3 linked regions of the Stegostoma tigrinum genome follow. The protein of the gene in region 3 interacts with the protein of the main gene of each other region in a biochemical or structural test. Links are inferred from orthologs where the notes say so. Each region holds a gene or a part of one and is shown on either strand. Other genes may lie near its edges.

Region 1 (3,755 bases), on a different chromosome or scaffold from region 3:
AAGGGTCTAGGCCCGAAACGTCAGCCTTCCTGCTCTTCTGATGCTGCTTGGCCTGCTGCATTCATCCAGCTCTACACCTTGTTATCTCAGTCTTGTCCAGCTGTCAGATTTCTCCTGAACCTCTGGTTCCAGGATTGTTCTCCCTGGAGCAATTCAGTGAATCTTGTCTACACCATCACAAGGACCATCATTTCCTACAACTTGGCACAATGCTGCAGTTGTGGCATATACTGCTTCTTCCTATTCTTTTGACCAAAATGTATCACCTCTCACTTCTCTGCAATGAATTCTATCTGCAATTTGCTACCCATTTTGCTTTACCATCTTACAGTTCATTGGTATCATCCTGTATGTTTACCGCAGGTCCACATGTAACACAATCAGCAAATTCTGGAATTTTTTCCTACATTGTATTTCTGAATGACTTGGATAGAGCAATGCTACCAGCATTGACCCTTAAGAGTTACATATCTTAAATGAATCAAGAGCTCACATCACTCAACACTCCATCCCTTCATTCCCAGGGTTACATACGAGCTCAAAGTTATTTCATGGGTTTCCTCATCACAATGCAAAAACCCAAGAACACAAATAGGAGTACGTGTTATGGCCTTTCCAGTCTGTTTTGTCATTCAGTATGATCATTGCTGATCCAATCACAACTTTAACTCCATTTTCCGACTGTTGCCCAACACTTCAAACTCACCTGTAGTTCAGGAACCTTCTACAACACTCAAACAGAATTGTGAAGAGGTATGGCTTAATCTCCCTAATCGTATGATCCTAATCTTTCATACTACATTTCTTTTATTTCTCCAAATATTCAGTTCTCTATCCGAAATGCTTCAACTCAATTCGTAGAATATTTGAAAAGCTAGACACACCTCCGAGGGCACCTCCTGAAACTTAGAAGGAAACGCACTGGATCCGAATTGAAGGAATAAAATGGGTCTTCCTTCAGTTTTCGCTAGAAGAAAGATGGTACCCAGCGAGTGTAGAAAGGCACTATTTCTGTTTCAAACGATAGTATTAGGTGAGCCCTGCATCATTCATTTTAGCAGATGACGAACGTGAAATAAATTTTACAGTAAAAATCTTTAAGAGGTTTTAGAGAACAGAAAAAAACTGCAACAGTAGATTATGAAAATTTGTTTTCATTCCAACGGAAACTCTTTTGGAGTACACATTGAAATATCTAACCGCGTCAGTGAATTCTGACCCGAACGTTTAGAAACACAAGTCAGTGACAACGGCAGCAATGCGTTTATTCCGTTATCGATTACTGTGTTCAAAAAGAACTCCCTTAACGATTTAAAAAGTGAAAGAGCTGCGGATGCTGTAAATCAGGAACAAAAACAAAGTTGCTGAAAAAGCTCAGCGGGTCTGGCAGCACCTGTGAAGGAAAATAGTTAACGTTTCGGGTCTGAATAAGACAGTTCTGAGGAAGGGTCACAGATGCTGCTAGGCCTGCTGAGCTTTTCCAGCAACTTTGTTTTTGTCCCTTAACGAATTGTTTCCTATAAGGTTTTAGAATTTTAAACCACGTCTACAAGTTGCTTGATCAGTCCAAAAGGCCAGAGAAACTCATCTTCCTTACAAAACTAAATTGACACCCCCCCATAAAAACACAACGAAGCAATACAAGCACTCACCCAAACACACCAGCCGTCTGACACCAGGTACCAGGCCATCTGTGCCGCCAGTCCATGGCCATTGGCCCAGTCGGGTCGACTAGTTAATCCCAGATCGCCTTCACCATGATTGGGAGACAAGTACTGGGCGGCGTTTGCCCCGCTTTCCCGGCCGCTGCCGCCCTCATCGATTCCGTTCGGCCGATCGCCGTTTGTGGCGTCGCTGGGGGTAGGATCGCCGGGGTCGGGGACCCGCAGGGCAGCGGGGCCCGGGGGCAGGCTGAGGTTGGAATAGGCGCTAAAGAGGCTGATCGCCAACAGCGCTGCGCTCAGGGCCGTATAGGTCCGCAAGCTTGGCCAGGGGAAACGCTCAAGGAAAAGGAGCGGCATGGCGAAGCTGATGGCTGCGCTGCCGTTACCCCAGTGACCTGGCTTGAGACGGCACCGAGATTCCCGTTAACGCTCGGGCACGCAGAAACGGTCCCGTTCTAACTCGAGCCAACGATATCGGTGACGTCAGCACACAGGATGGGGGGAGAGCGAGCCGGAAACAACCTCCGGAAGTGACGTACTGAGACGACGCCGCCGGACGGAGAACCTCCCGAAGTGACGGGGATGTCGGATCGCACTGTCATGGAGATAGTCTCCATGGTTACCGAGTCAGTTAGTCATGCCTGCAGTCATCAATAACAGCTCTTTGGAGGACGGTATTAACAAATATACATTTTGACGCATTCCTTACTAAGCTTAGAGTTACAGAATTCGCTCATAATATTCTGAAGTAGTTATTATAGGTTTAATCATCATTGCTGGTGGCATCACCCCGGTCTCGTGCCGTCTGCTGCTGAGACCCTTATCCATACTGTTGTCCTCTGTTTTTCAGTATTACAGTTTCTCTTCTCAACTATCCCGTCCTCTTCGAACTTAAACCAATCCAAACTTTCGCTGATTGCTTGCATCATGTTCTGTTTGCCCATCACCTAACATGCTCACCAATCTGGATTCAAACACAGTAGTTGCGGGAAAAGCTCAGCAGGTCTGGCCGCATCCGTGAAGAAGAAGTAGGATTTCGGGTCAGGCGACCCTTCCTCAGAACTGTTGTGGCTTACTGTGATTTTTCTTCACAAATGCTGGCAGACCTGCTTCCGCTTTTCCTGCAACTTCCGTTTTTGTTCCTGATTTACAGCCTCCACATTTCTTTCCGTTTTCACCAATCTAGATTAGCTTGTTTGAATAGTAAATCCGGAAATGGATGAAAAGCTATCTTGCCCAGCCTCAGTTTCATCTAAATCCCATCCCACCTTTAGACTTCCTTTCTACTCAGAAACTCACTTCCCATGTCTATCATTTCCCAATTCCCTGGCTGTTCGATGGCCCAAGATCTCTGTTATCACAATGGCCCAGGCTCAAATTTCTTTCTTGACTGTTGCAACCACTAACTGATGTTTTCATGAAACATTAATCAAATAACTCCCTCCAACCCAGAACATAGGAACTACAATTATAAAAAAAACCCTGTTTAATCAATGAAAGGCCATGTAAGAGCATGGAAAGAAAAGGAAGACTGGAAAGGAAATAGAAGAGAAAGGAGGTGAAGGAATTGATTTACTGAAAAATTAAGCAAGAACAATAGGCAAAAAAAGAATGAGGCAAGCAGAGAGATGGACAAGTGGATTGTTCACAATTGGTACGCTGGTAAAATGGAAGGACACTCTACTTTCACAGATGTTGCTGCCATGCTGCATATTTTCATGGACACTGGCAAAATCTAGATTATTTGGGTTAGTCCTGCATTACAGAATCTCTGTATAAGCAGTGCTGAATGCTTGGAAAAAGGTTCTACAATGTCTCCAATGTTTACTAAACATGGGAGCAGACGTAAACAAGGTTTGATGATCTGAGAAAATATGCCAGGATAAGACTTTACAGTGTTACCTTTGTTAAAGTAGATGAGCAAACTATAATAATGACAAGGTGTTTGATTATGATATGTTATATATTTAATGCTCTCATTAAAAGCACACAGCAAACTCATAGCTCCTCCAAACATACACGGGCAATAACAAAGGACATAACTTCCAGCTGCAACTGACATCATGAAATTGTGTCATAATTACATTTAAA
Region 2 (3,755 bases), on a different chromosome or scaffold from region 3:
AGGACCTGGACGTGTATCTGCATAGAACACTGAAGGTAATGGGAATGATGGAAGCAGTTAAACAGTTCTGTGCATTTTTTAAAAAAGGGGCAGAGAATACAAAAGCAAGGAGGGAAAGCTGAACTTATTCAAGACACTTGTTAGATCTCAGCTGGACTACTGTGCTTTGTTTGGGTACCACACTGATGTAAGGATGTGAATGCATTGGACAGAGTTTAGAAGAGATTTACAAAAATGCTTCCAAAGATAAATACCTTCAGTTATGAGCATTGATGGCAGATATTGGGACTGGAGGCAGCTAAAAAGCAGCTTCAGTAGAAGTTTTCAAAATCATGGCGAGATCTGGATAGAATTTATAGCAAGAAACTGTTCCTGCTCATAAAATGATCCACAACAAGAATGCAGAAATTTAAAAGATACTTGTAAATATGGTGAATGAGATGTCAAAAAAAAGCTTTCACACATGGTTTAGACCCCCTGGAAATGTGGTTGAGCCAGATTCAGAGGCATTCAAGATGGAAATAGATGATTATTTAAGTAAAAACAAGATGCAAAGGTACAAGAAAAAAAAAGCAGGAAAACAGCACTAAGCCATAATGCTCGTTGGCTAGCTGGTGCAAACACAAAGCCAGCATGGCCTCCTTCTGCACCATAATGTGCCTCCAATTCTGAAGAAATTGTTATGCAAACAGAAAAATAAGAGTAAAGCTTGAATTATTGTAGTATCTACACCATGTTTTCCAAGTACAGATGCAAACACTGAGCTACTAAAAGCTGTACATCTGTTGAGTTCTGAAATGAAAAAAAACATAGCTCGCACTGAAGCCATTCAACTGCACAAAGTAGTAACGGTCACCTACTATTACTTTTTTTTCCTTCTTCCTGAACTGAAGAATCAGGACACCATTCTGGGAGATAGGGTTACCCCTTTCTCCACAGCATGACAGTAACTCAGTCAAGTCCCAGAAGCAACTCCCAGGCCAGGCCGACGAGGGCAGCAAGTCGCAAAGGGGGTCCCGGGCCAGGCCAGCACAGGGACATTGAGTCCTGGGACGGAGGCCAGTGCAGATGCAGCAAGTCGTGGACCAGAAGCAAGGCCCTTGGGGACTGGAAGCTCAAGATCTGAGGCCTAGTGGGTCTAGAGACTTGGCCTGGGCAATCTGAAGGCTCGGTACTGGCACAGACTAAAATTTGAGTACTTTTTAAAAAGAAAACTTGTTTATCCTTACACTGAATTTTTATTTGCAATTCTTTCAAGTCTGCAACACATACTTAAGTGTTCTGTACCTAAGCACCCTGTTCCTAAGAAGCTGCCAAAATAGTGACATTACAAACTTTTCACTGCACTCATTCAAGTGCACTTGATAATAAAGGCTTATTCAAATTCTTTACAACTGCATCCCAGGATAATTAAAGTTGGGGAAAAAATGAGAAAGACATAAATCAGCTGCTTAAGGCCAATGGCACAACTTCAATGGAAACCAATAAACATTTAAATATAAATTGAAAATAAATGTGACAGAGAAAGGCTCAGTAGAGGAAGGAAAGCCACCCTGCGCAAGGGGGCTTGGAAAAGCAAACATAGAAAAAAAACACAAACAGCAAATAGGCATGTACAATGGATTTGTTTGTATTCTGTACTGTGGGGATTCTGTGATTCCAAAATTCATTCCTGCTTTGGTGCAGAATACAAACAAGTTAGTTAAAAAGCAAGGGGACTTTATCCATTACAATTGAATACATAAATATTACACCAAATCAGCAGAGAATACACAAAATGTAGTGCTGCAAATCAGCTTGCAAAATGATCATACCTTATCCACTTTAACTATGTAGGCCTTACAACACAGTCCAGTCCTTTGACAATTGGATTCTACTTGAACACAACATTGCATGCTGATGTCTGATGCACTAGTCTATTCTAGACAGCAAATGTAATTTGTGAAAATGGTAAGCCAGCAAACAAACACTTAATAGCTAATTGAAAATTAGCTCATAGGAGCAGCATTAATACAGAGGACATGTACACTGCTTGCACAGATCAATGTGCCAACTATCTCGACATGAGATATTCACACAACTAAACCCAAGTCAGAGTGATACAAGGACAGAACATTCCAGCTTGGGCCTAGCATCGCTGAGCGCCTCCTCACTCACACTTAGTTACACAGCCGACAGAAAAGCGACCCAACTTATAATACCAAGTTCCTTTATTTTAAAACAAAATTGGAGGTGCATTCTAACTTCTTCATATCACCCACACAAAAGCCATTGAGGAATATTTTCTTCAAACTCACCGCTTTCTGATACTAAATACGGACACGAACACCAAGACAACACTCTCTGCACATGCTCCGTCCGAGACGACTTCGGACCCTAGAGCGCATGTGCTGTTCGGCTTGACGATCGGATCGCAGCACGCATGCGTACTCCCCGTTGACGGCCGAACCCCAGGGTGCATGTGCCCATCTGCTCGGGTTGCCCGCATCTGTCAAATAAGTATCATTTTATGCATGCTCCGATATAGGGGACGAAACTTCCTTTGCTAATGCTTCAAGTGGTGATGATAGGCTTGGTAACTGATATGCTGTTCAGCAGATACAGAACATAGAACAATACAGCGCAGAACAGGCCCTTCGGCCCTCGATAATAAAATGTGAGGCTGGATGAACACAGCAGGCCCAGCAGCATCTCAGGAGCACAAAAGCTGACGTTTCGGGCCTAGACCCTTCATCAGAGAGGGGGATGAAGGGTCTAGGCCCGAAACGTCAGCTTTTGTGCTCCTGAGATGCTGCTTGGCCTGCTGTGTTCATCCAGCCTCACATTTTATTATCTTGGATTCTCCAGCATCTGCAGTTCCCATTATCTCTTCGGCCCTTGATGTTGCGCCGACCTGTGAACTAATCTAAGCTCCTCCCCCTACACTATCCCATCATAAAATGCCCCTAATGTGGCTGAGTTAACTACATTGGCAGGCAGGGCATTCCACGCCCAATATTTGATATTTTCTTGTTTATAAATTAATTATATATTAAATAGTAAAACTGACAGTGACACAAAGCTTTATTTTTAAGGATAAATAAACCTTGTTCTGTATTGAAGTCAATTTGTGAAATCAGAATTAAAGCTCAGAAACAAGCCATTCAGTAGAACAGACTGACGCAATGCTTATGAATCACATGAGCCTCTTCATGTCGTTCATCTAACTCTTATCAATATATTATCTTATTCTCTTCACCCTTCATCTAACCTGATCAACATATTATTTTCTGAAGAAGGCTCTAGGCCCAAAATGTCAGCCTTCCTGCTCCTCTGACGCTGCTTGGCCTGCTGTGTTCATCCAGCTCTACACCTTGTTACAACATATTCTTTTATTCCTTTCATTCTTTAGGTGTTGCCTGTCTCTTCTGAGGTCCACCCTCTTTACAGAGGTTTCTCCTGGATTTAGTGCTGACTATCTTATCATAGAATCCCTACAGTGCAGAAATTCAGCATCAAGTCTGCACTAACTCTACATTCATTCACTGGCTGGGAATTCCTTATGGCCCCTCTTCTTGACATGATCCTCAAATGGAAATGGCTTATACGTACACTTTTAACTCATAAAGACATATATCAGGTCACCCTTCAACATGCTTTTGAGAGAAAACAACCTAATCAGTTGGATAATAATTTTGTCATGGTGGTAATTCGAGAAGTAGGAAATATGATGCCGTGGTGTATTTCATTTTAGTGCAGATATTTACTTTGTCAGG
Region 3 (3,755 bases):
TGTGGGGGGGGAGTGTGTGTGGGGGGGGTGGTGTGTGGGGGGGGGGAGTGTGTGGGGTGGTGGGGTGTGTGGGGGGGGGGGTGTGGTGGGGGGGGGGAGTGTGTGGGGGGGGAGTGTGTGGGGGGGGGGATGTGTGGTGGGGGGGGGAGTGTGTGGGGGGGGGGTGTGTGTGGGGGGGGGGTGTGTGGTGGGGGGGGAGTGTGTGGGGGGGGGGAGTGTGTGGGGGGGGGGGAGTGTGTGTGGGGGGGGGGTGTGTGTGGGTGGGGGGGGGGAGTGTGTGTGGGGGGGGAGTGTGTGTGGGTGGGAGTGTGTGTGGGGGGGAGTGTGTGTGGGGGGAGTGTGTGTGGGGGGGGAGTGTGGTGTGGGGGGGGTGTGTGTGGGGGGGGGGAGTGTGTGTGGGGGGGGGAGTGTGTGTGGGGGGGGGAGTGTGATGTGGGGGGGGGGGGAGTGTGGTGTGTTGGGGGAGGAGTGTGTGGGTGGAGAGTGTGTGGGTGGAGAGTGTGGGGTGGAGAGTGTGTGGGTGGAGAGTGTGTGGGTGGGGGGGTGTGGTGTGTGGGGGTGTGTGTGTGGGGGGGGGGGTGTGTGTGTGTGGTGGGGGGGGGTGTGTGTGTGTGGTGGGGGGGGAGTGTGTGTGTGGTGGGGGGGTGTGTGTGTTGGGGGAGGAGTGTGTGTTGGGGGAGGAGGTGTGTGGGTGGGGGGTGTGTGGGTGGGGGGGGTGTGTGTGTGTGGGGGGGGGGAGTGTGTGTGTGGGGGGGGGGGGGTGTGTGTGTGGGGGGGGGGAGTGTGTGTGTGGGGGGGGGGGGAGTGTGTGTGGGGGGGGGAGGTGTGTTGGGGGGGGGAGTGTGTGTTGGGGGGGGAGCGTGTGTTTGGGGGGGGAGCGTGTGTTGGGGGGGGGAGCGTGTGTTGGGGGGGTGGGAGCGTGTGTTGGGGGGGGGAGCGTGTGTTGGGGGGGGGGAGCGTGTGTTGGGGGGGGGGGGAGCGTGTGTTGGGGGGGAGCGTGTGTTGGGGGGGGTGTGTGTGTTGGGGGGGGGAGCGTGTGTGTTGGGGGGGGGGAGCGTGTGTGTTGGGGGGGGGAGCGTGTGTGTTGGGGGGGGAGCGTGTGTTGGGGGGGAGCGTGTGTTTGGGGGGGGGAGCGTGTGTTGGGGGGGGAGCGTGTGTTGGGGGGGGAGGCAGGTGTGTTGGGGGGGGGAGCGTGTGTTGGGGGGGGGAGCGTGTGTTGGGGGGGGGAGTGTGTGTGTTGGGGGGGGGAGTGTGTGTTGGGGGGGGGGAGTGTGTGTTGGGGGGGGGAGTGTGTGTTGGGGGGGGGAGTGTGTGTTGGGGGGGAGTGTGTGTTGGGGGGGGAGTGTGTGTTGGGGGGGGAGTGTGTGTTGGGGGGGGGGAGTGTGTGTTGGGGGGGGGGAGTGTGTGTTGGGGGGGGGAGTGTGTGTTGGGGGGGGGGGAGCGTGTGTTGGGGGGGGAGCGTGTGTTGGGGGGGGGAGCGTGTGTTGGGGGGGGGAGTGTGTGTGTTGGGGGGGGGAGTGTGTGTTGGGGGGGGAGTGTGTGTTGGGGGGGGGAGTGTGTGTTGGGGGGGGAGTGTGTGTTGGGGGGGGAAGTGTGTGTTGGGGGGGGAGTGTGTGTTGGGGGGGGGGAGTGTGTGTTGGGGGGGGGGGAGTGTGTGTTGGGGGGGGGAGCGTGTGTGTTGGGGGGGAGCGTGTGTTGGGGGGGGAGCGTGTGTTGGGGGGGGGGAGTGTGTGTTGGGGGGGGGGGAGTGTGTGTTGGGGGGGGAGTGTGTGTTGGGGGGGGGGAGTGTGTGTTGGGGGGGGAGCGTGTGTTGGGGGGGAGTGTGTGTTGGGGGGGGGAGTGTGTGTTGGGGGGGGGGGGGAGTGTGTGTTGGGGGGGGAGTGTGTGTTGGGGGGGGGGGAGTGTGTGTTGGGGGGGGAGTGTGTGTTGGGGGGGGGAGTGTGTGTTGGGGGGGGGGAGTGTGTGTTGGGGGGGGAGCGTGTGTTGGGGGGGAGTGTGTGTTGGGGGGGGGAGTGTGTGTTTGGGGGGGGGGAGTGTGTGTTGGGGGGGGAGTGTGTGTTGGGGGGGGGGGGAGTGTGTGTTGGGGGGGGAGTGTGTGTTGGGGGGGGGGGAGTGTGTGTTGTGGGGGGGGGGAGTGTGTGGGGGGGAGTGTGTGTGTGTGGGTAATTGGTGGGGAGTGTCGCAGGTTCTGAGGACACACACGGAGGGAAAACGCGAGTGGGTGCGGTGGGGGGGGGAATAGGGAACCACCTTCACCCCAGCTCCTGGCTCACACCCCCAAGCTTCCCCCACCACCCCCCCGTCCCGCGGCCTACTCCCTCAGGCCTGGCTCCGGGCCCTCACTCCCTCCTGCGGCCCGTGGCGCACTCACCCTGGTTCCCGATCCCGCTCCGGGCTCTCCGCCGCCTCGGAAGTGGAGCAGCCGGGACGAGGGTGTTGGTGCAGCTCCCTGCCGGCGGTGATGAACAGGCCCGTGTCTCGCCACCCACCGGCCGCTCTCTCTGTGACCGTCTCCGCGCTCGGCACCGTCCCCGAGAAGCAGTGCGCCTGCGCACTCCCCGCCAGGCCCCCTCCGGCAACCATGGAGACCGCGGCTGCCCCGCTCCCGCCTGCCTGCACACTCACTGTCTCTGCCTGTACACACTCACAGCCTGCACACGCTCACATTCACTGCCTGTACACACTCACAGCCTGTATAGTCATGCTCACTGCCTGTACACACTCAGCCTGTGCCCAGTCATTTTCCTCACACACTGACAGTCTGTGTACAGTCATTGCCCGTACACACTCATTGCCTGTTCACACTCTCAGCCTATACACAGTGACTGTCTGCGCATATGCACCACCTGTACACACTAACAGCCTGTGCATGTCACACTCAGTCTGTACAATCACGCTCACCGTCAGTACACACTGCATGTACACAGCTACAGCTTGTACACACACAGCGACAGTTTGTACACACACACACTACCTGCTCAGATTCACACTCACAGTTTATACACACTCACTGCATGTACACATTCACAGTCTCCACACCCTTGCAGCAGATATACTGTCACAGCCAGTACATCCTCACAGTCTGTACACACTTACTAACTGTGGACACAGTCTGTACACACTCACAGCATGTACACAGTCACTGCCAGTACATGCTCACAGCTGTACACAATCTGTCTGTACACTTTCCAGACTGTACATACACACTGCATGTACACACTCACTGCCTGTTCACAGTCTGTACACACTTACTGACTATAACTCCCTGCCTTATGCACTCACTTTCACTGACTGTATACACTCACTGTATGGACACACTGCCTTTACAGAGGCACACTCACATTCTGTACACACTCATTACATGTACTCACACAGCCTGAATACACTGCCTGTACACAGTCACAGTCTGTACAGTGTCACTGTCTGTACATGCTCACTGCCTGTACACTATCACTGACTGTATACTCTCACTGCCTGTACACAGCCACAGCCTGTACACAGTCACAATCTGTGCACACACAGTCTGCACACTGTCACATTCTGTACACTGTCACAGTCTATAAACACTCACTGCCTGTACACACATTCTGTTTGCACCCGCAGCAAGTACAGTCACAATCTGTGCACACACAGTTGGTACACTGTCACAGTCTGCACACACACTCACTGCCTTTACACAGTCTGCCTGTACACATTCCCTGACTGGACATACTCACAGTCTGTACACAGTCACACTCATACTGTGATATAGCCAT

The links.
Region 1: the proteins of large proline-rich protein BAG6-like (region 3) and amfra form a complex in vitro, tested with the Homo sapiens proteins (2 studies listed by BioGRID, with this or other methods). The link is inferred for Stegostoma tigrinum from reciprocal best matches to the Homo sapiens genes BAG6 and AMFR.
Region 2: the proteins of large proline-rich protein BAG6-like (region 3) and small glutamine-rich tetratricopeptide repeat-containing protein alpha-like form a complex in vitro, tested with the Homo sapiens proteins (4 studies listed by BioGRID, with this or other methods). The link is inferred for Stegostoma tigrinum from reciprocal best matches to the Homo sapiens genes BAG6 and SGTA.

The regions. Positions count from the first base shown.
Region 1 is NC_081369.1:10,286,914-10,290,668, reverse strand, and holds the start of amfra (autocrine motility factor receptor a), read right to left. Parts: upstream 2,188-3,755; 5' UTR 2,022-2,187; coding exon 1,653-2,021; intron 1-1,652. UniProt on the Homo sapiens protein: E3 ubiquitin-protein ligase that mediates the polyubiquitination of lysine and cysteine residues on target proteins, such as CD3D, CYP3A4, CFTR, INSIG1, SOAT2/ACAT2 and APOB for proteasomal degradation.
Region 2 is NC_081383.1:7,848,552-7,852,306, forward strand, and holds the start of small glutamine-rich tetratricopeptide repeat-containing protein alpha-like, read right to left. Parts: upstream 2,432-3,755; 5' UTR 2,298-2,431; intron 1-2,297. UniProt on the Homo sapiens protein: Co-chaperone that binds misfolded and hydrophobic patches-containing client proteins in the cytosol. Mediates their targeting to the endoplasmic reticulum but also regulates their sorting to the proteasome when targeting fails.
Region 3 is NC_081387.1:19,777,261-19,781,015, forward strand, and holds the start of large proline-rich protein BAG6-like, read right to left. Parts: upstream 2,729-3,755; 5' UTR 2,372-2,728; intron 1-2,371. UniProt on the Homo sapiens protein: ATP-independent molecular chaperone preventing the aggregation of misfolded and hydrophobic patches-containing proteins.